Linked DNA regions of Lytechinus pictus. The protein of the gene in region 3 purifies or fractionates together with the protein of the main gene of each other region. This does not show direct contact. Links are inferred from orthologs where the notes say so. Each region holds a gene or a part of one and is shown on either strand. Other genes may lie near its edges. The genes, in order: ATP-dependent RNA helicase DDX24-like, large ribosomal subunit protein eL20-like, MKI67 FHA domain-interacting nucleolar phosphoprotein-like and pre-rRNA 2'-O-ribose RNA methyltransferase FTSJ3-like.

Region 1 (7,525 bases), on a different chromosome or scaffold from region 3:
AAGAGAAAAAAAGCTAAAAGGAAGAAATAAAAAACAAGAAGGGGTAAAGAAAGGATGGATGGAAGAAAGAACAAAGAATGAAGGAAAGAAAGGGTAAAAAGAAGGAAGGAAAGAAACAAAGAAAGAAAGAAAGAAAGAAAGAAGAGATAGATATAGGATGGATGGACTCAAGAATTAAAGACAGAAAGAAATAAAAATAAAAATAAAAAAAAAGAGAAAAAGAAATAGAGAAAAATATTTTTTTTAAGGACAGAAAGAAGACAAAGAAAAAAAGGAAAATTAAAAAAGAAAGACAGTAACAAAAAACAAAGAAAGATTGAAAAGAAAGAAGGAGAGAAAGATATAAAGAAAGCTATAACTATCATGATAGTATCATCATATAAAAATTATCAGTTTCTTTTTGGCTCATTTAAAATAAAGCTACGAAAGAAACCAAGTGTATCAAAACACACACAAATGCATATGTGGGGCTATCATGTATTCAAAGCGCCGTGCCGGCGGGCTATCGCCATGGCATGGCATTGCATTGACACTCGATCGCTCGTTGTGCCTCGCTCAAAAACCCAGCTTCATAGTAAAATTTTGATGTCACCAGCTCTTCACGCGGGGTACAGTAAGCCAATCGCAACTCAATATCTTGTCTTAGCGCGGCAAACCGAAACCAATTTGCATTGATGGTTTAGCTTTGCGCTTGTGTGGTTAAAAACTTTGAAACTTTTGCCTGGCCGTGTTATAATGTTATTGAATATCCAATATAGGTTAATAAAGAGGCGCGATAGCTCAGTAGAGCGGGGGTTTCGGATTCCGGTGACCCGGGTTCGATTCCCAAGTGGTGCGCTAGTGCCCTTTGCCTTGGTAAGGCATTTAATCCTCATTACCAGGTCCCTCGGAAAGGACTTTAAGCCGTTGGTCCCCTGGTTGCTTGCTCACAGGCATTCATGCTTTCTTAGCAGTCAGGTAAAAAACCTCGGTACTGTCTTCAGGTATTAAACTTTTTTTCTCTCTATTTTCGGGGTTTAGCTTGAGAATTCCTACGGCTACGGTCAGCGTGAGAATCGGGTGAATTGTGTGCGACTCACGCAGCTCAGATTGTGTGAGAGTTGGCAGCCCTGAATAAAGACAACAAATAATCAACAATCGATGAGCCTTGTCGCGTCGCATCGGGGGGATTTTGCATTGTTTAATGTTAACATGATCTATTCTAAGTCTAACGACTAACGTTAATGGTGGCTGCACGTGCACGATAGCGAGCCGTCTGTGTCTGACAAGCCTCCAGGCTACTCCAGGGCCATGCTAAGTCAGTAGAGGCGCACGGCCAATATTGGAGACTATCTCCAATGTGGGAGATTATCTCCAATATCAGAGACTTTTGTAAAGAATTTGGGTATCCAATTTCAGAGACGGTCTCCAGTTTTGGAGACCAATTTCCTTTGTTTACATTTGCTGCAAAAGGATTACCTTGGCGGCAAATAAAAATGTGATAAGGGGATTCCTAATGAAAAATTACCCCTTTTCACCGTCTACTTTAAAAATTCACCGTCTACTTTAGACCAAAAGCTTCGGTCTCTGTTATGTTGGTTGTTCAGCTGAACTCCGTTGGCTTCACTCACCAAATACAGAGACCGAAGTTCTAGCGCGATCTGTACAGGGGACTCAATGGCCATATGTTTATGTACTTAAGATCGGATAAAACGGGGAAGTGAATTTGCGCGACAGCCGAGGTAAGTCACTGTTTTTGTTCCTTTTAACTCGATTTTTCGCCGTTTCTTGGCAATTAATGCCAAGAGGGAATATCAATTTGCATTTTGGTCGCATTAATTTTCAAAATGTTTATTGATTAAAGACAAAAATTGAAGAGCCCCGACGGGGGGATTTTGCATTGCAAGTCCCCTAATGGTGGCTGCACGCTAGCGAGCCGTCTGTGTATGAGGAGAACTTAAAAAAAAAAATGTTAAAAAACTCCTCAAAACAGACGGCTGCCAGCTGTCTACGTCTACTTTTGTTTTGATAAGGATTTTTCTTGTCAATCACACACAAAACAAATGGGCTTCTGACCTCAGTGAGACAAAATTTTGGGTGGAAATAATCACGCTTTTGTTGGTGTTGTTTCTTTTGTCCTTTTGCAAAGCAAGTCTCCAATGACATGTGGGAGATTGTCTCCCCTATTGGAGAGAGTCTCCCATATTGGCCGTGCGCCTCTACTGTAAGTGGAGCCAACGCAGTTCAGCTGAACAACCAAAATACAGAGACTGAAGCTTTTTGGGCTATCCTGAGCTGAGCCCCAGCTCCGCCTGAATCATCGGCGGCGTCTTTTTCGAGCTGCCGCAGCGCGCAGTAAGCGGCGGAGCGGAGCACCTTCACTCTGCATGCGCATGCTTACCTTTCCCACAGTCCCACTCGTAAGTTTTCTAAACATGTTTGGATCGTAATCAGTTAAAACCTCCATTCCAACGAATCCACCCATCTCTTCGTCAGCAAACGCTGACATATCCACTTCGAAAGGTTTCCAATTCTGTTCATCTAGAAAAGCGGGCTGTTTTCGTGATTCTCTCTTCATTTTGTTGTATTTCTTCAAGCGCTCGCGCCGCTTCACGTGTCGAATGGAAGTCGCCATCTTGATTTGATAACCTTATATTATAACTTGATTTAAGGCATAGCACAGCGTATGCGCACACAGTCTGCTTGAAATGCTAAATTCATCCATTCCTGCGTGAACATAATTTTTGTTACTTTTTAAAACATTCCTGTGAGTTTAAAAATAAGTATATAGTTTTAATTTCTTTACCTCCATTTTTATTGTATTGTCAATATGCTCTGTCTCGCTTCTCACCTTTTTTCATGAAGAATTCATATTTCTAATCAATATTTAACTCCAAGCACACCGCCGGTATTTGGGGGGAAATGACGCGTGGCGCTTAACTTCGCGTATTTTTGAAAACGCCCTGAAAATGACTAAAAACATCCCCTCAGAAAAATCAACGATCCTCACATGTTACACTCTAAATATGTGCATGAAATTTCCATATAAGGATATCGTGACCTTTCCGATCATGACCCTGTATTCTGCTTCCGTGGAAACCAATTTATGGTCACACCGCAGGCGATTTTACCGTGTGGCTTGGATTCTTCATATCTCCGGTATTCAAGTGTATTTCCGAAGAGTGAAGTACTTGTTACATTTTTTAGGGATGATATTATTTTGTCCTGAAAATGAGTGTAACTAGCAAGGAAATGGCTTTGAATTGAGCAAACCAAATTTTGGTTCACGATTTCGAGGTACTACGCGCTTGACTTCAATCATGGCATCCGCTGACTTCAGCGCAGAACATACACGAATACTCCAACTCACCGGATGGACTGCCGATGAAATTCACTCTCTTGTACACGAACGGAAATGTCCTGGTGAGTAGATTTGTGCCGATTACGTATTCTTAATACCCGATTGATTGGATTTTTATTATGAAATGATGTGAAATGGTTGTGATTGTGACATGAAATGTGAAAAATGTCGATCTTTTTCAAATATCTAATGAACAATTTTGCCGTGATTGTGCAGAGGGAGTGCGCGCAAAATTGCACAGCCATTTCTCCAGTCGACCGGCCACATTCGCCGACCGAATTTTTCTTTTCTGCGCATGCGCAGTTTAAGGTATGGATATTCCATTGCCTCTCTCCCTCCCTCTGGAACGACTGTTTTCATTTTCCTCGTACGTTTTTCAAATCAATAGTTGTGTGATGTCAGGCAATTCAAGAAATTAGACTTGAAAGTCAAATTTGTCACTTTTAATTAATTGTTTGGTCATATTTACTGAATTATTTTGTCTCAATTGTGCCCATAACCAATTCTTTTCCTTTATTAATTAATTTTTTTTTAGGGGGGAGGGGGAGGGGGTGGGGGCCTCAAAGAGACATAATTACAAAAGAAACAAATTATACTTTCAAATGGGCTTTAAAAATTATTATAAGCTAATAATTATTTCTCATTCTCAGAATTTCTTTATACCATTGCTGTGAATAACACATCCTTCCCCTATCAATTTTAAAACCCTTTCTCTGTTTAGTGCCCGTTCATAATTATTTTTTTTTAATTCATTGACAAAGAATTGTGGCCCCCCCCCCCCCTGCCCAATTTTTTTTTTTTTTTTTTTTTTTTTTTTTTAAGAAACACATATATTGGTTCAGTCCTAATATTTGTTTTGGTCTACAGTATGTGCATTTATTTTCAAGTTTCACATTATTTTTATTTTATAAATCCAGACTTTCCCTCTTAAATTAGCAAATATTATCCTTTTATTTAAGGTAGCAAACACTTTTTAATGTCAATAATTAAAGTTTAGATCAATAATTGATTGATATTTTTTTTCAATTATTTGAGTAAATATAGTAATTAGTATGCCGTTGATTTTAAATCACTCAGGCAAAGAACCTACATTGACATTTTTTTTTTCTTCTTCCTTTTCTTTTAATTACAGATCACTGGTGGGAGGACCCAAGGCCTACTTTTGGCTTAATGGAAATCATCAGAAAATGTGTTGATGACACTGAGAGCTTGAGCTTCCGGAAAGACTTTGTTAATATTTTGAAGAGCATGGGCATCAAAGAACCTAACTGCACATTACCTGGAATCCTGTCCAAAGTGAAACGCAGTGCTTTAAAAGCAATCAGTGCTGATAACTTAGAATCCCTATGTGAAGAATATACAGACTTGTCTGGGTCTAATCGTGTTATTGGTTCAGCATGTCAGCAATTGGGAATTACTCCTGGTTTGTTGAAAGAAGGATGCAGTAATTTACAAGGAGATATCTCAAATGGAATCATTGTAGAGCTATTTCATTATCGTAGACGAAATTCCATTCCTTGGAAGACTGTTCTTGATGAGTGGTGGTGTGCACTTTTTCCAGAAAAAACTGGTGAAGTACCACATAGAGGAACTGTTATAAGTAGTTGGAAAAGTGTAGCCACAAGGAGGATCAAATTGTCCCGAGATTCATCAAGAGAAAGGTTGGAGGAATTTTTAAGAACTCCCTACTGCTATCCAACTAAAAGACCCATCAATGAAGAGCAACTGGAAGATGACCATCCTGATGGAAATGAGCCTCCCCTGACTACTAAAGATGACAGTGAGCTTCCCCTGACTACTATAGATGACAGCAACGAGGACATCGTGAGCACATTTGATGATGCCACTAAGAATAAAAGAATAGTTATGAAGAGGTACCAAGACAAGGTTAAGGATATGAAGAAGGAAAGGCAAGAGATGATGGACAGACAGCAACAAGCAAAAGAAGAAAAGAAGAGAAAATCAGTAGCAACAGCAGTCAGAGCAACTGAGATGGTAAACAAGTTGTGTGATGGTCCTTGTACCTCCAGTGCTGATGTGGAGTCCATGATGGCTAAGAAGGCTCCGTCTGATCAAAGAAAGGCTCTGTTGGCACAGATTGACTACTACAAGTCTGTTAACAAAGGATTGGTCAAAGGTGCTTTGTTTTTTAAGTCAAAGGCTGGTAAACCCCTAAGCGCATCTGACCTGTGTGACAACTTAAAAGAGATAATTCAGGTTGTTCATTCAGCCCCCATCGGTCAGTCAGAAGATGCTGAATCTGGTACATCCTGCACATTCCCTGATAGTGACACTCTTCAAGAAGAAAGGAAGGCATTAAGAGAGAAACTGCTATCAAAAGTGACAGGGAGAAAGCGCAAAGAACCCTTTCCTGAAACTACCATTTTACACAAAAGAATTAAACACAAGTTTCTTCCTGAAGGTGGCAAACGTCTTGTCACATACCATGGCAGAGTGTTGAGAAAGAGTACTCAACAGGACATTGAAGACTTGATGGAATGTAACGATCAGGAATATTTCGACAAAGGTTATACATTTTACACCCTTGTGTATGACAATGACGAGAACCTGTACACATATCCTCTTGAGAAGGAATGGGAAGATAATTGTCTGGAGCTCATGTAAGAAAGGCAGCCAAAGTTATTCATTTGTACAAAGGAAAGAAAAATGATGTCTTAACTGAAAATGAACTCTGCACAAGAGATTTTGGCCCAAGTTCACTTCAGAGTTATAGCATTGATTTGAGAAAGATTACTTATCAATTCATCAGGATATTGAAATGAATACTTAATGGATCACTAACCTTTATTATTTGGACAAATTATTTACATATCAGACTTCTATGGTGGTTTGACAATGCTTAGTAATGGAACATATATCTTCTGGAATTCAGTAATTCATCCATGTCGACAGATAAAGAGGTATGTGAAATAAATTTGCTATCTTTTTTGTGTGTTTGAAAAGAAACTATTCATGCACACACCGAAAATAAATTTCGTTTTTACTCAATGTAATTGCATTTATTGCATGAATCCACCAATTACAATTATGTTCAGGGAATAACACTAATGTACAAATTATTTTTACTCAGTACATGTTTATAGCTGCTCTTTTTGTAGTAAATCAAGATTACTTCATCTTTTGCAATACATAAAAACATTGAATTGTAATATTTCCTGCCATATTGAGACACTAGTTTGTGGTACATATAATATGAATGTCTTTCAAAATTTTGTACCAGTCCACCAATTAATTTTTTACTCTTACAGTTTATACAAACCTGCAATCAAAAATCTACCAGGCAGATTTTGGAAAATTCTAATGAAACAGCATCTGTTATATTATTGTTGTGCTAAAAAAAAAACACAAGTTCAATGAATGAGGTAGAATATCTTATGCAGACTGTCCAATGGCTTTTACTATGCCTTGAATGCCCTCTTATCCCTTCTCATCAGGTTGTCCGCTCATTTGTGTCTGGCTGCAGTTTCCCCTTTCTCGATTTGATTCCCTTGGCTGTTGCTCATTGTCCTTGTCATGACCTACTTGAAATGGGATGAAGATTACAGTTATTTTTTGTTAAATTGTTTGAAGTCAGAATTCATAGAAATGTATTAAACATCAATGTTATTAAAAATTCAATTTATTATGCTAAAATTGGGAATATATTAAAATATCTAATGAAACAGCATCTGTAATATTATTGTGATACTTGAAAGAAAACTCAAATACCAGCCTGGATTGACTTGTGCAGCAACTGATCATTCAATTTCAGAACTGCCAAGAACAGATATGTGCTGTCTTTGGCATGTTAATAATAATATCCTCTTTCATTAAGGTTATCTGTCCAGTGCTGTTCTTAAACTCATTTTCAGCACTGTATAGGTAAAAGATAAGTGTTGTGAAATCATAAAGTTTATCAACCTTGTATAACCCATATGAAAGAGACAATTTGTAGGATGGTTTGATTGTTGCCGATGAATCTTTGATGAATTATGTATTAATAATTATGCATAAATTAGCTAATTTGCATAATAAATGAGCTAATTTGCATATTTGTCAAATAAGATTGTACAAAAGTGGTGAAAATTAAAGGTCTTAGTGCAAGAAAACATCTTGCCAAGTTTCATTGCGTGAAACCTAATATAACTGGAGATATTGCATTTACGCATATTAATTAGCTCTCAT
Region 2 (7,251 bases), about 40 Mb from region 3:
ATTTATTTTAATAGATTTAATTTTAATTTATATTTGTTTCTTTATTCATTCATTTGGATCTAGATTTGTTTATAACTTTAATTTGTTCTTTCAATTTACATTAGTGTCAGTCCCTAGGCTATGAAAATTTCAAGGGCACTTTTTAAAAATCTTTGAGGGCATTTGGAGCAAATTCTCGCTACCCCAAATAGCGATTTCGCCGAGATCCGGGAAAATCCCTGTAACGTGCATTGCATTATGGGATAGCTTTTTCGGTATTACAACTTCCTGTTCGGAAGTCCAATGCACTGTTTTGCCATTCAGATCAACAGTGCCGTCATGCACAACAACACAACGTCGCTTTCGCTCGGAAAGTTCGTGATCACAACCCTCTCTTTCACGATACAGTTTAACAGTTTTACAGCCTTTTCTGCTAAAGTCAGTAATTCTGCCCGACGCTTTCCATTGCACGGTATTCATCTGTCAGTTAAGATTTTTTTTAAGTTCCGAAACTGATTTTTATCCATTTTGTGGTCGACGAAAAATTGAACGAAATGAATGCTGTATATATTTAGCGTCTAGTTGAATACGATCATGATGTCAGGCCGGTCGCTAAATGCACAATTTTAAGATATTCATTATTTGTTTGATTTTTTTATAACCAAATAAACACATGAATAAAAATTATTTTCACGTGAAATATATTTTTTATTTTTATTTATAATTCAAATGGAATCAAAACTGACCAAATGTAATAAAAAGTATTATACTCTGTACATATTACGCTGATTGGCATCGATTTCAGCGTGGTGGAAAACTCAGTATCGCGAACCTCGCGCGAGCATGACTCTAAACCGGAAGTGGTGATGACGACCCGACGGAGTGAAAATTATCTCGTCTCGCGCATTATGAGATTTTTGTTCCTATTTGGGGTAGCGAGAATTAGGGAGAGTTGAAATTAGCCCTGAGCCCTCTTCACTGTGGCAAATTGTAAAGAACGGATAGTGATGCGTTCCACGCTAGCGGGCGTGTAAATTTTGCTTATTATATGACGTCATCCAGCCACTGCCGAGATCTAATTTATGAATGAAAATATAGTAAGCATGCGCAGTGCAAGCCTTCCATTGCCCCACACAGTATTCCACCAAAACAAGTGTGCAATTCTCTATCACTTCGTGCCAAAATCGACCTTGAATTTCACTTTCCTATATTTTATATGAATTATGAAAGGTATTCTCGGAGGATCTATTTTCTCACCGATAACGCACAGGTAAACGAATTTCGATTACTTCTTGCTTTTCCGTCAAAATCTTACAAATAAAGCGTCGATATGGCATCATGTTCGTTGGAGTTTGTAGAGTCTATCGCAACATGCACAAAGTCAATTGATTTTCGGAGCGTTGCATGAATATGCATGAAATTGCGGAGTCTCAATAATTTTTGATCGATACTGGAGCGATCCGATCACGAACCAAGATCATTTCCCGCGTAGACAATGTGACCGGATATCGTTATCGATACTTTCGCACGCAGTCCGAAGGAATTATTTTGGCGACCACGTAGTCATGACGTCACCTGCGCAATTGACCAATCAGCGGTCTCCGATTCGCTGAACGGAGATGGTCTATCCGTTGTACACAGTCTATGGACAATTTACCACTGTGCTCTTCCCCCTGCATCAAACCTGTTTTGCAACCAGTCACTGTCACATTGAGCAAGTTTCTCAATAATTAATTTTTTTAAGCCTGGGGTTCCCCTGGCGGTTACACTTCGTAATTCCAAAGGTTCTTTATTCCGAAGGTTCGTAATTCCGATACACGTAAATTGCCTATACCTCGATGCTCGTTAATCCGAAAACGTAAAAGGGTTCGTTAATCCGAACATTTGTGGCGTTATTCCGAAGGTTCGACAATGCGAAAACGAAATAAGGTTCGATGTTCCGAAGGTTCGTTAATCCGAAAACGAAATAAGGTTCGTTGTTCCGAAGGTTCGTTAATCCGAAAACGAAATAAGGTTCGTTGTTCCGAAGGTTCGTTAATCCGAAAACGAAATAAGGTTCGTTGTTCCGAAGGTTCGTTAGTCTGAAAACGAAATAAGGTTCTATATCATTTCGTTTTCGGACTAACGAACCTTCGGAATTACGAAACTCATTTCGTTTTCGGATTAACGAACCTTCGGAATTATGAACCTCACTTCTTATCCAGACTAACGAACCTTCGGAATTACGAATCTCATTTCGTTTTCGGACTAACGAACCTTCGGAATTACGAACCTCATTTCGTTTTCGGACTAACAAACCTTCGGAATTATGAACCTTCGGAAATACGAACCTTCGGAATAATGAACCTTCGGAATATCCGAACCTTCGGAATAACGAAGCTTCGGAATTACGAATGTGTGCGCCCCTGGCATGCATGATGGCAAATTCATAACAAAAAGGATCGTGTCTCAAACATATTATGAATATGAGCAATCTCTCAACACATATCGTCAACAAGTCATCCTCCTGCGCCTGCGCATCCCCCCCCCCCCCCCCCCCCCCCCCCCCCCGTCACCTGATGCCAGTCATCCAGATTATTATATAGTCCAGGTCAGTCATGCCAGTACAATTAAAAAACTGAATCACATCTGTAACATCCACAACTCATTCAAAATCCCAAAGAAAAAGAGAGAACACAATATCATCCATGATGACCATGACATGTTCCACACACACCACAGCCCAGGCACAGCTCAGTGCAGTGCACACAGCAGAGCAACATGCCATTACCAGTGGCACTGCACTAGTAGCAGTGCGGTTCTGCTGTGTCCGTCGATTGTTTCGAACCCCATAATAGATATCTCAATTTCTCCTCTAGTATTTATGAAATGTTAATAGAATCAATATCATATTATAAATTAATTATTATCTAATCACATTTATTTTACAATGATTATATTCGGGGACTGGGGAGGGTAAAATAAGCCACTTTCTAACCTGTCCTCTGAATTTCATTTCGTGTACAACCCACGAGGAAAAGGACGAAAAGGCCGAGGAGTGACAGAAAATACAGATATGGTCAATAATCAAAAGAAACGGTCATTATTTTTTGCTCAATTTACATGTATGTGTATATTTCAAAGTCAGTAAAATATTCAAAATATTAAAATTGTTTTATTAAAAATAAAAAAAGATATATATACAAGGTAAAATACAAAATGTATGAATTTTGATATGATATCTTTAAATTGGTAAATTGACGATGATTGAAGTTGTACGATCAATATTCTTCGGGGAGCATAACAGTGGACAGTGCCAATTTACAACCAGGTTTAATTTTAATGATTTGAATTTATAAGCCAATCTTGAAAACACCCCCCCCCCCCCTTTATGGAACAGTTGAGAAAGAACATTGCTTTTGATTGCAGTAGTTAATTTCTTATAAACCCTTTTTATGTAAAGCATTATAACCCGGGTTCTTAATAATTTTTCAATGAGGTCCATGAAAAGTGTTAAAACAAGGACTTTTTGGTTGAAATGAATTATGCGGCCCCCTGCATGGCGTAGCCCACTGAATAAAAAGAAAGGAATACAAAAATTCCTTTCCCAGGTGTTGATCACACAAGTGATCAGTGGTGTAAGAAGAAAATATGCCTAATCATGAGCAGCAGAGGCAGCAGATATGGAATTTGGAGTAATTGCGAGCGAGCTAAAAAAAAAATCCTTTTTGTTAATGTAAATCTAATTAATTTTTTTGATAGATGTTTTCAATAGCAAAACTTTGCTGTTGGGGACATTGGCACTGATTTATAAATGTGTCAATATTTTCGCGCGTTGTTAAATTCGCGGCCGATCGGCAATTTGCGAAATCCGCGAAAATAACAGCTTATACAGTATCTTTCTTTTTAGGAGAGAACTCATTTGTGATCTCTATCGCATGAAGAAGGGCATACAGATGAGGCGTACCGTGGGTCAAGGCATTGGGAGGGGGCACCAGCAAATATTTTGAGTCATTAAGTGGGCGCGCGAAGCGCGCTCAATTGCCAGCCACTGACCTAATAGAGACATTTTAAGGACTGTGCCATTAAACGGATTTGTATCTCACTGATCAAATAATGCGAGCGCGAAGCGCGAGCTGATAATTTTGATATTCAGGGACATTAAATTTTAAAAATCATGAAACGTAGGCCTATACCTGTCTCACTAAACAATCAATGCGAGAGTGAAGCGTGTGCCGAAATTTGTGTATATATTGACCCCAACTAAGGACATTTAAGGATTATTTTTAAGGAATTCATGAAGGACATTCATATCTCACCATAGTCATTTTATGCGAGCGCCAATAAGCGCTTGCTGATTTTGTCATAATTACACCTAGCTACATGAAACACTTTTTGTAGTCATTATAATCATGAACAGGATATGTATCTCACTAATTGCGAGCGCAAAGCGTAAGCTGAAAATTTTTGAAATTCAGACCCGAAGAGGAGCATTCTAAGGCTTGTTTATAGGAATTCACTAAGAGTAGACCATACGTATTTCGCTTAATGATGCGAGCGCGAAGCGCGAGCTGAAAATTTTTGATATTCAGACCAGGAAAGGGACATATATTAAGGACTGTTTTTAGGAATTCATGAAGCTCATATCTCACCAATCTACTAATGCGAATGTAAGCATGGACTGGAAATGTTTTATATTCAGACCCTAAAAGGGCCGTGCGAGGACTGTATATTGACTTGAAAACAGGATAGCACAACAGGATTATATATTCTCAGCAGGAATGGTGAACACATATAGGCCTAAGCAATTTATGTTTTATAAAGTTTTAAAAATATTTCTTAAATAATATCATCTATATAAATATAGCCTACATAATATGATATACAATCATTTATTCTCCCCCCACTATATGTATATCTTCCTTTCTCAATCTTTTTCTCCTATTCTCCCGCTTTTTGGCCAGCAGATGTGGGGGGGGGGCGCGGGGGGCATGGACCCCCCCAAAAATGAAAGAAAATGAAAGAGAGAAGGGTGAATAATGGTATTATTTTCTGGATGTCAAAATCTATCACAAAATTAGATCTTTTATAAGTAATTTTAAACTTTTTGCTCGCTCCCTTCTCTCGCTTGATTTTTAGAAATAAATTTTGCCCAATAGGCGTACGCCATGCTTGGCCCCCTTTTTTTTTTTTATCATTTCGCCACTGGATGAACATGGTGAAGAGAAGCAGACAGTATCCGCGAGTGTTTAACCTTGTAAACATATTTATCAATTTTTCATAAGTCACAAATTCTATTGGAGATTCTTCATTATACAGTCAATAATTCATACGGATCTCGGTAATTATTCCTATATCTCTCTCGCTTGCTTAAAATTCTATTTCTGTGATATGAATAGCGAGGTATCTTGTGTATTTAGTTGGGGAATCCTTTACGTTCATAACAAATATTCTTTTTGCCGGTCGCTCAACATTCATTCGGTTATACAGAAGCACGTCAGCTCCGTGGACGGCAGTAAGATACCAGTATTTATCCCTTTCTTTATTTTTCATATTGGGATAATGGTAATATACAATAACAATTTCTAGGTCTGTAGTCAAGATTATGCAGCTTCTGCCAAGAAGAGGGGGCAAAAATATTTTAATCCATATTCCCCGATCGGCCGCTAAACATGCTAAAAGCTGAACTTTGAAGTACATCTTTTTTTTTCTGAGGACAAGACAAGGTATGGCATAAAGCATAAATGCATAATGCTAGCGCGAAGCGCGGGATGAAATTTGTAATAAATGCACATGAAAACGTGACATTCTATTTAAAAAAAAGTAATCATAATCAAGATGGGTATCTAACCAAACAATTGATTCGAGAGCGAAGCGCGAAGTGAAACTTTTTAATACTCCGACCTAAAGCACAAATGATGAACAAAGTATGCGAAGCGTGAGCTGAAATTTGGGCGATTTAGACCTATAAGAACGGGACATTCTAAGCAGTGGGTATTAATAATATGAGAGAAAAAAAATGATATTCCGATCTGCAAAAAGGACGGATTATAATGAAGTTTTCAATCAACAATAAGATATGTATCCAATAAGCAATTATTGCATACACAAAGCGTGAGGTGATATAATTATATATATATATTTAGGTCTATAGACCTAAAAATGAGAGATTCTATTCATTTTCATGAAAAAGATGGGTATCTTGCTATATATACGGTGCGAGCGCGAAGCGCGAGCTGAACATTTTTGGTGCTCCATTAAAAAAAACCAGTACATTATTTTAAGCACTTACAAAATATAATGCGAGTGCGAAGCATTAGTTGAAATGTTTGATATATTGACCCGAAAGAAAACATGTTAAGCACTGTTTAACATGTAGGAACATTATTAAAAAATCATTTAATGTTACTGTATGAGTATCTAACTGCTTAACAATGCGAATGCAAATCTCTAAAAATAAGCAGGCCTATACTGACCTGAACCAATATAGGGGTAATCTCAAAGATGGGAAATCGGGAAGAGGATCCGTCTATGCGAACGCATATGTAGCGTGATCTGAAATTTTTTTGATATTCACTTTTTCGTAATTATGAATAGAATGCATTGAATAATTTGTGCACATTGACTCCGAGGACCCCTCGGTAGATCAGCAGCACCATGATTGATGCTGCTGAGTAGGGCCATCCTCCCGTTTTCTATTTATCAATTCACATTTATCATTTTATATGTATTGTTTTTTTGTTTTTTTTAACGGAAATAAATTCAATCAATCAATCAAACGGGATATTTTATGTCTCAGCATGTTATCCTCTTGAGCAGATCATCTCACTCAAGGCAATGTGAGCGCGAAGCGCGAGCATTTTTTTGTTTTGTTTCATATAATGACCCCTTTTGACCTGAAAGTTTTTACCAATTATTCTTCTCTCTTTGTTTCAGTCACTTTTCTTCCTCATCTTCATCTTATCATCTACGGCCTCCCCGGCCTTCCCTTTACTTGTATTTCTCCCTCTTTTTGTAGCGAACCCATTTTGCTTGTCAAATTTCTCGTGACTTATCTTCATCTTGTTGTGAAAACCTTTTTTATTTGCTTTTCAAATTAAAAACAGCACCCCCTATTAAAAAAAAATCGTTCCCAGCTAGGGCCCTGGATAAAGTTAAGGTCCAACCATTAAATTTGTCGACAATATATTTATAGGAAGAAGTAACTTGCAGGCCCATCGAAATAAATAATTTTGAATGGATGTTCAGGGGCCGATCCCACATCCAACAACGGGGAAGGTGGCGGGGAGAAAC
Region 3 (7,278 bases):
GAAGTTTGGTCCAGTGACAATTAGCAGTAATAATTCACAAAAAGTATATTCACCATGCTAGAAATTGAACATGACTATAGTACAACATGGCACAAACTTGTGTTTTATGTGTAGTTTGACAAGTTCCTTGTATATTGTATGAAAGAGCTCAAAGTACAACATAGCAAGGAAAGGGAGAGATACTCACCACACCCTCTATTTTGAAGTCAATGCCTAACTCCTGAAGCTTCTTCTGTTTCTTGTTAAGACCTCTCACTCTCCGCTTCTGGCTCTCCAGGATATGATCTTTCCCACTCTCTAACAAGCTATTGTTTCTGGAGGCTGCAATCTCTCGTCTTCGGGGGCTCTTGAAGTGATGGAAACAACCCTTGAATGTGTCAGGATGGAGCTTGTCTTTAGGAACATAGAAACCTAGAAATAAAATAATAATTTGAAAAGACATAGAATTGCTCAAAACATTCCAAGATAAACGTGTGTTTTTCATTTCTCAATTTGAACCAATCTCTACTCATACATGCACCTATAGATAAAATAAAGAAACTTAAAAGAGTAAATGTATATATATACCTAACTTCTGCTAGTTCCCATTTTATTTTTTTTCAATTAGCTTAAGATTTGTTTCTTTTTAACAAACTTGAATTGCATTCATGTTTACATTTACATTTTGCATATTGCATTAACCATAAAAGGATGGGGGGCCATGATGCCCCCCTCAACGCTTCGCACGATATTTCCGAAACGCAAAGAGATAGCGCCGCAAAATTTTATGACTTTTTTCTTTGAAGTCTGGGACCAAATTCGCAATATACACAGAAAGCATCGACACCCCACCACTTTTTACGAGACAATGTTGTGCCAAAAATGGCTCATTTTTATACTTTGTGTACAAAGTCTTTGGGAGATGAAATTCATAAAAGGGTGATTATTTTCATTTTAAAGGAGAATTAAATCTTTGGAACAAGATAGCCTGTGTGAAAACAGAAAAATCAAAGAAACAGATCAATGAAATTTTGAGAAAAATCGGACAAATAATGAGAAAGTGATGAGCATTTGAATATTGCGATCACTAATGCTATGGAGATCCTCACGTTGGCAATGCGACAAAGATGTGTGAAGTCACCTGTGAACAACTCTCCCCATTAATTTAGTATATATTTCACTTTAATTGCCTCTTTTATCACATCTATCAGTAGATTATGTGTTCTTTCTTTAGGAGGTCATGTAATACAGATTTTTAAAAAATACATCATGGATAGAGTTTGTTTCACCGTAAGAAAAAGCAAAAAGAGACATTTTGGGGGTATTTTATAGTCCATCAAAGGGAAAGTTGTTCACATGTGACATCACACATCCTTGTCGCATTGCCAATGGGAGGATCTCCATAGCATTAGTGATTGCAATATTCAAATGGTCATAACTTTCCCATTATTTGTCCGATTTTTCTCAAACTTGTTTTGTTCTTATTCTGTGATTTTTCTGTTTCGACATAAGCCTACTTGTTCCAAAGGTCTCATTACCCTTTAACTGTTCTGTTTAGTTTCTTCAGGGTTTAATTTAGTGGTTAAATTGTCTGTAATAATTTCCATTAAAAAAAAAACAAAGGATGAAAAAACAAAAATACATAAGTTCAAAAAACAAAGATATACATGAGGAAAAAAATTGACTTTGGCAATTTTTCTTTGTGGATTCCTTTAAATTAGATTACACAGATGACATCTGGAAAAAAGAAGAAAATTTGAAGTGAAATTGGGTGTTAAATATGCAAATAATGATTTTCACGAATAAATTTGTATATCTCATTCATAATTAAAAAAAAAAAAAATTTTCAATAGCTTTTTTTTATACTGGCTTGTAGTTTACAGCGGCCGAGATCAGAAGGGGGGGCCATGATTGCCCCCCCCCCCCCAGTCCTCAATACATCTCAAATAGCCCAGTCCTTTTAGGGTTAAAAGTTTGCCATTGTACACATAATAGTATAATAATACAATAAATCTAATTACAAAACCTTGAAATTTATCAGGTATTTTCCCAAATTCTTTTAATTTTGTGATTGGAAATAAAAAATAAAAAATAAAAAAACCTTGTTTTCCTGAAGAGGAAACCTACCACAAACATGAAAAAAAAAATCTTGATCTTTTGAGGCAATTTTACCAAACTGCTGAATAATTCAAATTTCTTGTATATAGAAGTAGCCGTGCAATAACAATTGTAATAAGTAACTGACGCACAATTTTTCGTACTCACATTTTAGAAGCTTCTGATACATCAGGTAGTTGTGCATTGTCTCAGTCACCACCTTTGCAACTTCATCATATTCAAATTCGATGTAAGCATACCCCTTTGATCTTCCGCTCTGAAATCAATGTAAACCAAAACATGTTAACAACTGTACATGTTGATTGGAGAGAATAATTTCTGAATAGCTACAAATACATTGGAAAATAAGTATACTCAACTTTGGCAAGATTATAACATTACGGGCTGATAAATTCAAGCAAGAAACAAGAAAATCAAGAAACCCTGACTATCTCTACCTGGTTGATCAAGGTTTGAAATTTTTGTATGACAAGGAAAAATAGGCCTGAAGTGGTTGATAATTCAGTCTTTGGAGACACTGAAATTCCTATACATGTATCTATTTGTTTGAGCGGTCCACCAGTGTTCACCCAAAAATGCTGGGCAGTCAGTAGACACACACACACACACAAAAAGAAATGGACTGACACAGGTATAAAATTAACAGTTGCTATCAATATTGATCCAATGACTGGTAGTTTTTCAAATAGCATCTACATGTATGTATTGGGATCGGGGGAAAGGGGGGGGGGGGAGTAATTTAACACCAAAATAATTCTCACCTTTTTGCTTCTGCTGAGTCGTAACCTCTTGATGTTGCCAAACTGTGAGAAGAACTTTTTCATTTGAGGTTCAAAGAAACCATGAGGAATATGAGACACATAAACGACGCCAGAGTTTGGGTCATCTTCATGGATATCACGTTTCTGCAGATTTACATGAAATAACAGTGACAATTAGAAAATACAGATTTTGATTAACTTTTAAAGACAGCTCAAGCTTTGGTAAAAGGTCAATAGTATCATGTGAATAATGTGATAATTCAAGTCTTACAAACTTGAAGTGGCCATCAATTGATTTTTTTTCAACCCCATTATATTTGTGGAAAATTAAGTTTCAATTAAAACAGGTAGCTACTCTCTAGAACCCTTTTTCAGATGCATTGATTTTTTTTCTTTAAAAAATGACCTGTTCTGTATGCATTTTGTAATTTCTTTTTTTTATCGATTAAACAAAACCAGACAAAGATCATTATCCTGAAATGGTTTGACTATTCCATGCTTGAGAAATTGTTTTAAAAAACACACACACACACACCCAGACATTTCATTTTCATCATATCAGGCCGATAAATTCAAGCAAGAAACAAGAAAATCAAGAAACTCTGACTATATACTTTTCATAACATTACCTGGTTGATCAAGTTTGAAATTTTTGTATCATGACAAGGAAAAATAGGTCTGAAGTGGTTGATAATTCTTAGTCTTTGGAGACACTGAAATTCATATACATGTATCTCTTTGTTTTACACAAAAAACAAATTCTCCCGAATAAATTTGGACAGATTCTGCCTGAATATGGCCTGATTAGGATGAATTCGGTGGATTCCTAACCTATTCGTCTCTGATTCGTGAACTCCCCAAATCAGTAACGAATAGGTCCGGAATAGGTCCCAAATCAGAGCAGAATAGCCGAGAATTGACTGCCCAGAATACCCCAAATGCTTCCCAGAATCCAACTGAAATCCATCCAAATACATCCTGAATGTGACCCAAATGAAATTTGTTGTGGTCACATTCGGAAGTACCGGTATTTTGTATTTGGCTGGTCTTGAACATTTCAAAGCGAGCCAAATCCCTCCACGAATATTCCAGACTTTTCTCGTATTCAGGGAGGGAGAACAGAATACTCCAGAGTATGTGAATTCGCAGTTGATTCGGTTCCAGTGTAATCTATGTCATGTTGTGACTACAGCACAAAACGATTCACTGTGCATACAAGCACACCCTTGCTAGTTTAGACACACATGGTGCTGGCTAGCTGAAACTGAAAAATACCATTCACACCACATCTGGAAAGTGCATTTGTTATTGTTACATACGTTACAAGGGATATCTTCAACTAACATTGTGAGTATTGGTGTACTACTTTGCCATGTATTAAACTGTACTGTTACATTGATTCCTGCATCAGACAGAGTAATGCGTTCATTCCACAGTCACATGTGAGAGGTGAAATTGATTGACTCTTCATCATCACTTGCAGGAACAGTATGGCCCGTATTCTGAAGTCGGGTTTAACTTAAACTCATGTTTAAAGTTGTGGTTTAAATATGGCTAGCTGATTGTTACATAAATCACTACAGTAGAGATATTTCAGCTCATTTGGCTCTCAAATCATTCATAATTGTCTAGAGAGTATAAATAGATGATTGTCTTCACCATTGAAGAATCAGGAAAGAGCACAGTAAATAAAAGAAACATACAACTTAATAAAAATTTTGATACTTTTGGCTTCCATAATTTTAGCACAGAGTTAGACCATGTTCTAAGTTAAACCTGACTTCATAATACGGGCCTTTATATCTAGGGACAGTGATTTTAAACAGACGGAATTCATGGAATCGGCCTTTTGAAACGGAAAGCGGCCTTTCAAATGGAAAATCACAGAAAATATATTTTTCTCAAAATGCACAGAATAGCAACAGAAATTACTCCCAAATCTTCAACGAAATACGAATATCAACTGGCCAAAAACACAATCCCACTTCGCTACAACAATCCACACATCGTGACTGCACTCGACTCCATCACAGATCATATTGAAATTACATTCACGTCCGCATAGCGACTGAACGTAGAATGAAGGCAGAAAAACGGCTGTGTGTTGCTGCCCTCTGCTTTCGGTCATAATCATTATTATTGTCTTCTTATTATTGTCTCATTATCATTATTGCCTCATTATTGTCTTACATGTATCTCATTATTTAATAAAGATCTTCAAAATAATAATTAACACCATAACAAAGGTCCATAATCAGATATCAAATTCATGAAACAGCTCAAACATGTAGACCTATTTCTAAATTAAATTCATGAAAAGGACTTTCTTTGCCATTCAAAAATACGACTTCCATTAACAATACCATATTCTAGACATTCAGACTCCTTCTAACAAACAAGTGGAATGCCTCTGGCGGTCTCACCTGCATCACGCGATTCATTATAGCAGCAGTGCTGACGTTGATAACTACTATAACTCGCACAAGATGTTCAGTGATACTTGGTTACTCTTATGTCCATGTTTTATGAACTAGACCAATACACTTACAGAGATATGGTAATTCAACAAATACCCCCAACATGGCCAAAGTTCATTGACCTTTGACCTTGGTCATGTGACCTGAAATGCGCACAGGATGTTCAGTGATACTTAATTACTCTTATATCCAAGTTTAATGAACTAGACCAATATACTTTAAAAGTTATGATGGTAATTCAACAAATACCCCATATTTTGGCCAAAGTTCATTGACCCTAAATTACCTTTGACCTTAATCATGTGACCTGAAACTTGCAGAGGATGTTCAGTGATACTTGATTACTATTATGTCCAAGTTTCATGAATCAGATCCATAAACTTTCAAAGATATGATGGTAATTGAACAGATACCCCCAATTCAGCCAAAGTTCATTGACCCTAAATGACCTTTGACCTTGGTCATGTGACGTGAAACTCATGCATGATGTCAAGTGATACTTGATTAACTTTATGTCCAAGTTTCATGAACCAGGTCCATATACTTTCTAAGTTATGCTGTCATTTCAAAAACTTAACCTTAGGTTAAGATTTTGATGTTGATTCCCCCAACATGGTCTAAGTTCATTGACCCTGATTTCAAATGACCTTTGACCTTGGTCATGTGACACGAAACTTGGGCAGGATGTTCAGTAATACTTGATTAACCTAATGGCCAAGTTTCATGAACCAGGTCCATATACTTTCTAAGTTATGTTGTCATTTCAAAAACTTAACCTTAGGTTAAGATTTGGTGTTGACGCCGCCGCCGTCGGAAAAGCGGCGCCTATAGTCTCACACTGCTATGCAAGTGATACAAAAATCACTCATCAAAAAAAATTCTTAAATTTCACTTGCAGTTTTGCTCTAAATACTTATTTCGCACAAATTCTACAAAATTATTTTCAAAATAACAAATAAAATTTTATAACAGAGCTCAAATCGTAATTAAAAAAATATATATACAACGGCTGAAATCTACCGTGTCTGAATACCTGGACTAATCTCGAGCCAATCGCAGCAGGGATGACGTCACTTACAGCTGCTCGATCGGCCGACTCAGATTCTCAAACACCTCACAACACTCAAAATTGAAGTTCATAACCGCTGGCTCTTAGTCTTTACAAACCAAATTCAATAAAACATACACAAAATGTTCTCAAATATACAATTTCATTACCGAAAGAAAAATATTAGTAGGGACATCAAATGTGCGCAATTTTTTTCTGCCAGCGGTGCATTTCAAAATATTCATATCTTTCTCATTCCTAAATAACATGTTTTTCCATGATTTTAAAAAGATTTTCTATTTTCCACACATCAGTCTCTTGTAAAATCACCTAGAACGCTCGCGAATCTGCTCTCCAATGACCCCCTTAGGCCGCGTCCATTTACTGTGTAAAGGATCATGGCCCCAAACCGGCGCTAAATATGCTCTCGCTTGTACATGCAAGCCTTCATACAAATACCTGGGGTGATGTCACATCATTGCTTAAAATGAATGAATCATACCTTTTTTCGAAAGTGGACGATTCCTAATTTTTTATGAATGAAAACAGAATTCCCGAAAGTTCCACCATCTTGAATTCTTGCGATGCAGAAGTGGATTGCCGTGAAGCCCATGATCTTTCCGGTAAAATAAATGTGATTTACATGTATCTATTTTTTCCGCATTTATTTTACGAAACCATATTATATAGATAGTTAAGATTAGAATGAGATCCTGCGTTATAAACTAGAGATGCTCTGCGGGTCGCGCAGCCAAGCACATGTATCTCCCGAACCCACCGCGTCATCACGATATATAGAGCTCACACAAAAATTTGACAAAAAATACAATTATCATGGTGACAATGACCCTAGCATGCAGGTCCCCCAAGTCCATCTACCATCCAAGTGTGGTTG
Region 4 (7,241 bases), on a different chromosome or scaffold from region 3:
CCCCGGCTCACCTTATTTCATTCACTCGTCTTCTTCCTCTTATTTTACCTCTTCTTTTTTTCTCCTCTCTTTTTCTCCTTTTTCTTTCCTTCTTTCTGTCTTCTTTCTTTCTTTCTTTCTTTCTTTCTTTCTTTCTTTCTTTCTTTCTTTCTTTCTTTCTTTCTTTCTTTCTTTCTTTCTTTCTTTCTTTCTTTCTTTCTTTCTTTCTTTCTTTCTTTCTTTCTTTCTTTCTTTCTTTCTTTCTTTCTTTCTTTCTTTCTTTCTTTCTTTCTTTCTTTCTTTCTTTCTTTCCAGCCATGGGTTATAGGCCTATGCCCTTTAAAATTTATACCCCATGCTCCCAATTTTTTTCTGAGTGCGGGCCGGGTGGTGGGCCTAGTATATATAGGCACGAGCTATAGCTCGATCCGGGGGGCACTTTGTCTTGGTATAATATTATGATACCTATATATGTCAGGGGCCGCGGAACGGTTTTCAAAGTGGGGGGGGGGGGGGGGGGGGGCTGACCATGCAAAAAATCACAAACCTATGGTCATTTTTACGTTTTTGTACACGGTTTTGGAAAAAAGTGGGGGGGGGGGCTGAATGTGAATGATTTTCCTGGAAAATTGTTGCAACGTATTATAGTGATTTATAAAGATGCTGCCTTTACGGTCAAGGCCAAACTTGAAAACTCCCAGTGCAGCTTTGAGACAGTAGTGAGTGACCGTTGAGTTTGCATATCACTGTGTCTGTTTTAAAACTAGTGAGCGAAACTTTAAAATGCTATAATTTTCAGCTTGTCCGATTTTGATGAAATTTTCAGCAATATGCTTGGTTTTTTGGCATCTTTTTTATTATTATCTAAATCCACTTTTTTGTTGGAGCGGACTTAGTTCCTCTAAACCCGGCGGTATCGAGGGGGCGGGGATCGATGATGCAACTGACCGGCCGGCCCTCAAACTTTGAACTTGATATTCCAAATATTGCAATGATGCCAAAATCGGAACAATATATTTACGGTATCTCATTTATTTTAGGGCAATTTTAGTGCCTTTTATTTCTTTCAATCGGTTGAGTTGCTCGCTTATAATTTTTTTTTCAGAAGCAAAAGGCCGAAATATGATTATGCCGAATTACCCGTTGGACGATATTCCAGAATCTTTAGCAAGCCGGATCGATCGGAATGAATTTCGCCACCTAGCCATCCATGCTTATCTAGCAATCTGTGCATGGACGTCCGGACTACTACTGTGCTCTGTGGACACGTACGTGCAGTCGCCGTTGGCCTAACGTCAGCTTAATGGACGACGCCATATTGCCAGATTTGGCCCGCGCCCTCACCGGCTAACGCTCGGCTAAAGCTCGAACGCCATTCACCCATACACTAATTCCCCTTGATTACCGTTGTTAAAAACCACTGTCAAATCTTTTCCAGCATTTTTATGAATTAGCGGTTGATGTTTTTCCGTTTATCAAATATCCTTCATTATACACATATTTTTTTCATATTTATAACATTTTTATTTTAATCACAATTTCAGTCCAAACGCGGGTCAGTTTTTGTTAACCCACGTTGTTTGTGCATGCCCACGTGTAGCCTTACGCGTATTGAAAGGAATGATGTTGGGTGGAAAAACAGAATTGTTATTGTTTGTTCCTTGTTTGTTGGGGATGAAACTATGATGGCGACCAGTCACGTTTGACTGTACCGCCAAATAGTTAAGATTAATTAATTAAGGTCAAGGTGAGATAAGAGAAATGAGCAAGGGGCATTGTGGTGGGGGGGGGGGGAAGGGAGAGAGAGAGAGAGGGGGGGGGGGGTTACGAGGGCCGAGTGGGGATACAGTTTCATCGTGCAGTACAGGGCGTCGATGAACACTTTTATTTTTTTCTCCAAAATATGGAAAGTGACAGAATAATCAGAAAAAGGTTGATTGGTTCTGATTTTGAAAAAAAAACAGAATTTATCAAGATTGCTGTTATTCTTCATGGATGTAGAATTTAATTTAGTTTCTCTGATAAGTATAGAAAACAACTCAAATTTTGATTAATCGTATTTCATTTATTTCACTCTTTTCTTTCGCCTCGTTTTTTTTTCTTCCAAAAAATCAGGGAGCTGAAAAATATGAGAGCTAGAACCTAAAGATATGGGGTAGCTATGACGTTGGAGAGGGCGCAGCCTCATGCACTTGCAGATCCAGATCAATTTTCACAGGGGACACTTAGAGTAGCCCCTATTTCTTTAATATTATTTTTACAAGCAAAAAAAAGTCAATGAAGACATCAGGCCACCGACAGCTGCCTCGTCAAAGGGGGGGGGGGGCGGTCGATTATTTTGAGTATTTTTTTTTTCATTTTGTCCTCAATAGGGGGGGGGGTTCAATTAATTCTATATACACTTCTATTGTCTTTATATATGGGGGGGGGGGTCTGCTACTGAGCATGTTTTTAAAAGGGCTTAATAAGGGGCTTAATATAACAGAAATTGTACGATTTAACACAATAAAATGTATCATCGAGGTAAATACTAAATTAATACATAATTAATAATTGTTTTAATTGAAAATGAAAATAATAAAGGCACCCATATATCTAGACCAAAAGCTTCGGTCTCTGTTATGTTGGTTGTTCTGCTGAACTACGTTGGCTCCACTCACCAAATACATGTGTACGAGGAGAAATTAAAAAATAAAAAATGTTAAAAAACTCCTCGAAACAGACGGCTGCCAGCTGTCTATTGTACGAGGAGAAATTAAAAATTAAAAATGGTTAAAAAACTCCTCGAAACAGACGGCTGCCAGCTGTCTACCATAGATCTTAACATCTCATAAATACAGGCCTAAACCTGTATTGGAAGTTGAACAGGCATAAAGTATAAATGTTTAGCTATAGCTGATGCTTTGATCCCGCAACCAAATAATGTTATATCAGTCAGTGGCGTAAGCCGTAACAAGCGAAAATAATTGAGGGTAAAACGATATGGCGTATCAGGCAAAATTTATAAAATATATAGTTGCAAGCAAGCGACATAAGCATAATTTTGACTCTTGGTTACAAAAATCCAATTGAACGATCTCGCAAGATTCTCTTACCTTTTCCTTTTTTTTTCTTGTTCGTGAATTGGGGGCATGCAAGACCCCCCCCCCCCCCCATACAGCACCACTCTTTGTTGTCACTGTCTAAAATTTGATTTAAACTTTGAGAATTTGAATTTCTTATCTAAGTAATCCAAAGGGATAAGACAAAAATATTTGCAGATTACTTATTTCAAAGTATTTTTATACCTATAACTCCCCAACTCTGCTCTAGCTGCACTGCACGTTACCTAACGGCCTTCCACCAAAGGGCCAGGCCGACTCACCCCGTGAGCAAGTGACCGCGTTCGCGTAAGTTCACCCGAAGCCATGACTAAATTCTGACCATAAACATCACCTAACTAATCACTCTTTGACAATATTTCAAAGTATCTTTTATTAGAGTCGATCCTTTGGGCCATTAAACGATAATATTTCCAATGTTATCATGACAAACAATTTTAATGAGATAGTGGCATTGTAGAAAAAACTAATTTATAAGCACGAAATGGCACCAGATAAATCATCAAACATACAGCGCAGCGTTCGGGACTGGTGAGTGGTACGGCTCGCTTGGAGTTTTCGCCCCGACGAATTCGGCGAAAACGCTACCATTGCGCCGTGCGAATGTTCAATCTGCGGCTCTCAATCAGAGACTTGAATGTCTCTTTTTGCATTATCAAAAATGTATCATAGACTTTGTTTGATTTGTTTACAAGTAAGTTGCATATCCGTCGTGATAATTAGGAAAATCCATGATGTCTTCTTCTAATTCTGTAAAAATTACCTCTTCAAAGTGCCTGTGTCAGAAAATTTCCGGAAATCGTAAAAACTTGCCTAAAATGTCTCTTTTTGAAAGTTCATCCATGGTCTGGAAAAAAATGTTATAATTTATGTAGACGTATACCGTAAACAAATACATCCTCGATCACTGAAATGAAGTGTTTGCTAAGCTTTTTTATCTCAGACCGCGTTACCATGGCAACTTGGGAAAACCTTTATTTTTTAGTAATAAAATTCTGGTTTTAAGAGTCATTTTAGAGACATAAAACTAACCATATTTTGAAGTATTGGGTTTAAATTTCACATAACACTGAATTATCTATGTTTATACTTTCGTATATGAATATTCATATTTCTTATAGAATCTTAGTTTTTGATTGGTCAATGTTTCAGTCATGGATAATAACTAAGCGTTAAAAAATCTGAAAATGCGCATTTTATCGGCAACCAACAAGCAAGATGGCGGAACACATTAAGTTGGCGCTATGCACGTACGTGTGGACGGTTGATCTAGATCGACTACGCCGGAGTTCTCGGTCCAAACACTACTGAATCTCCGCTGGCCTAATAATACTAGCTGCGACTGGCCTGGCTCATTTGGATGATTCGATTCGAAACAATTTTTTAACATCTGAGGCGGGCAAATTTCTCCTTCAAAATGGGCAAGAAAGCGAAAATCGGAAAGCAGAGGAAAGACAGATATTATCATCTTGCTAAAGAAACAGGTTTGTCAATTAATTACGGCCCGAGAATTAACTATAGCTAAACATTATTAAAGGAGAATGAAACTCTTGGAGCAAGTTAGCTTTTGTGAAAGCAGAAAAATCAAAGAATAAGATCAACAAAACTTTGAGTAAAATAGGACTAGCAATAAAAGAGTTATGAGCATTTGAATGTCGAGATCACTAATGCTATGGAGATCCTCCCATTGGCAATGCGACCAAGATCTGTGATGTCACACACGTACAACTCTCCCATTTGGACACTGAAAATATACCCCAAAACATCTCTTTTTGCTCATTCTAATCATATGACAAACGATTCATCAATGATATAATGTTGTGAAACCTCTGTACTTGTCATCTCATAAAGAGAACACCTCACCTTGTGATAGACTCTATAAAAGTGAGAATATAAGTGAAATAAGTAATGAGGGAGTTGTACGTGTGTGATATCACAGATCTTGGTCGCATTGCCGTTGGGAGGATCTACATGGCACTAGTGATCTCAATATTCAAATGCTCATAACTTTCTTATTATCCATTCAATCTTCCTCAAACTTTCAACAATATGTTTCTTTGATTTTTCTCTTTGATATGGATTCAGCTGGTTTCAAGGGTTTCATTCTCCTTTAACACTGTCTCATCTCATGACGACATGGGTCATGTTAGGCCTAGTCATGTAGTTAGACTCTGTCACTTGACAACTGACCACCATATTTTAATGTTTGTCTATAAGCCCCGCTTATAATATAGTGCCCTGGGGTGGTATTCTGAATAATCTGAGGTCATTTTATCTTTAAAATATTTTATTTTATCTCTTAAAATGAAATTGGTATTCTGAGAGTGAGATGACATTTTATTTTTATCTCTCACCGTCACAGTCTCGGATAAAATTTACAATTTTATCTTGCGTATAAATTTTATCTTGCGTAACTATGATGATACGCAACAGAACAGTGCCTGCGGAGACATACCCATCGCGTATCTGGGTATTGCAACGCGGATGATGTGCTTGCGCCCAAGTTTAACTTTGAAGAAAAAAATAAAATAAACTTAAAACTAAAAGAGGGTAGGGGCTATTTTATCTCTGCGACGTTGATTTCACCAATATTTCTAGGTGAATTAACCCAAAATGTTGACATGAAAATGAAGAAAAATTATATATTTAATGAGAATAACACCTTAACGTTATTCCTGTACAATCATAACCCAGGGAGCCCAGGGGCTTACCGTGTATTTGACCATAGTCACCGGACTAGGGTGATTTATGGTCTAAATATTTCTCCAAATGAATTGTGAAAACAGAAAGTATACAATTACCACGATTATATGGATGAAGGTCTAACGAGTGGCAGTTTCCTGACATCTGGGCACAGACTGGAACCTAAAAAAAACGAAAAGTTCTCTCCTTCTACCCAGTCTCGATCGGCCATTTTGTTACGATTTTTAACAAAAATGGCTGATCGAGAAGGGGGTAGAAGGAGAGAACTTGTCGTTTTTTTTAGGTTCCAGTCTGTGCCCAGATGTCAGGAAACTGCCACTCGTTAGACCTTCATCCATATAATCGTGGTAATTGTATACTTTCTGTTTTCACAATTCATTTGGAGAAATATTTAGACCATAAATCACCCTAGTCCGGTGACTATGGTCAAATACACGGTAAGCCCCTGGGCTCCTGGGCGGGAGCTCCCTGGGTTAGTACAATCAGAAAGTATTTCATAAGACTTGTCTTGACCAATATTGTCTTTGAAATGATGCTTGAAAAGATGCGATATAGACTTCGAAAAAAGATGAGAGTATTGTCCTTTTTGTTAAAAAGAAATCTCTGTAAAGACGCGCAAGCGTATTGTGCAAGCGTATTTGAAGTCAATAAATTGACGCAATCTCACCCCTTTGCCACACCTCATGGCGGAATGGATTTCAATTGGTTGAGTGACACGAGATAGCTCTAAAAGCACGTTTCTAATTGGATATTGATTAAAAATTAGGTGTGTCTTAAAGAGATAAAATTAAGATACAATTGTTCTCAGAATACCAATTCGGAGATATTTTAAGGGTATTTTATTTCACTGATTTTAACGGAGTTAAAATATTGTATTTTATCTGAGATAAAATGGATCTCAGAATACCACCCCTGGGGCCTGGCAGTGGACGGGTAGAAAAAGGGGGGGGGGGTGGAATTCCTCAACGAGGCGATACAAGTAAAACCACAGGTGGTAGCCTCCATGCTCCGTCTTAACAGACACTCACTTAAAATCCTACCCTGGTAAGGTTTCCATGGTATGAATGCCCCCCCTCCAAAAAAGAGGCAGACAGAAGGAGAACTAAAGGAAGGAAAAGGGGAGAAGTAAAAGAAAGAGGAGAGGGGGAAGGAAAGGGATGGGCCCAGGGGGGGGGCACTCGACCCAAAAAGTAGTAGGTATGTGCCGCGGGCGAGACAAAAAATGGGGGCCTTGGAGCGGGCTTATTGTAAAAAGGAGGGTCCTGGGAACGGGCTTCGGAACTACAAATGTTTGTGAATACGGGGGTCCTTGGAACGGGTCGCCTGCATGTGGGTGCGTATGCATCCCTATGGAACGTGCATGCAGCTAGCCCGGCGGCACGACTGCCGGGCGGGCTAGCTCAGAGTAATGTTGTAAATCGGATCAAAAATCAGATCGAAAATCGGATCGGCAGTTAA

What was found.
Region 1: the proteins of MKI67 FHA domain-interacting nucleolar phosphoprotein-like (region 3) and ATP-dependent RNA helicase DDX24-like purify together in Homo sapiens (affinity purification with mass spectrometry; 3 studies listed by BioGRID and IntAct, counting the BioPlex papers as one, with this or other methods). This does not show direct contact. The link is inferred for Lytechinus pictus from reciprocal best matches to the Homo sapiens genes NIFK and DDX24.
Region 2: the proteins of MKI67 FHA domain-interacting nucleolar phosphoprotein-like (region 3) and large ribosomal subunit protein eL20-like fractionate together in Homo sapiens (co-fractionation; 3 studies listed by BioGRID and IntAct, with this or other methods). This does not show direct contact. The link is inferred for Lytechinus pictus from reciprocal best matches to the Homo sapiens genes NIFK and RPL18A.
Region 4: the proteins of MKI67 FHA domain-interacting nucleolar phosphoprotein-like (region 3) and pre-rRNA 2'-O-ribose RNA methyltransferase FTSJ3-like fractionate together in Homo sapiens (co-fractionation; 3 studies listed by BioGRID, with this or other methods). This does not show direct contact. The link is inferred for Lytechinus pictus from reciprocal best matches to the Homo sapiens genes NIFK and FTSJ3.

Annotation. Positions count from the first base shown.
Region 1 is NC_087261.1:25,556,709-25,564,233, reverse strand, and holds the start of ATP-dependent RNA helicase DDX24-like, read right to left. Parts: upstream 3,008-7,525; 5' UTR 2,792-3,007; coding exon of another isoform or gene 2,786-2,791; 5' UTR 2,615-2,785; coding exon 2,381-2,614; intron 1-2,380. Other genes in the region: uncharacterized protein LOC135157277, read left to right, coding at 3,300-3,402, 4,473-5,965. UniProt on the Homo sapiens protein: ATP-dependent RNA helicase that plays a role in various aspects of RNA metabolism including pre-mRNA splicing and is thereby involved in different biological processes such as cell cycle regulation or innate immunity.
Region 2 is NC_087247.1:7,744,025-7,751,275, reverse strand, and holds the start of large ribosomal subunit protein eL20-like, read right to left. Parts: upstream 3,023-7,251; 5' UTR 2,975-3,022; coding exon 2,957-2,974; intron 1-2,956.
Region 3 is NC_087247.1:47,894,057-47,901,334, forward strand, and holds the start of MKI67 FHA domain-interacting nucleolar phosphoprotein-like, read right to left. Parts: upstream 3,009-7,278; 5' UTR 2,922-3,008; coding exon 2,859-2,921; intron 2,354-2,858; coding exon 2,245-2,353; intron 412-2,244; coding exon 188-411; intron 1-187.
Region 4 is NC_087246.1:16,943,663-16,950,903, reverse strand, and holds the start of pre-rRNA 2'-O-ribose RNA methyltransferase FTSJ3-like, read left to right. Parts: upstream 1-4,236; 5' UTR 4,237-4,497; coding exon 4,498-4,564; intron 4,565-7,241.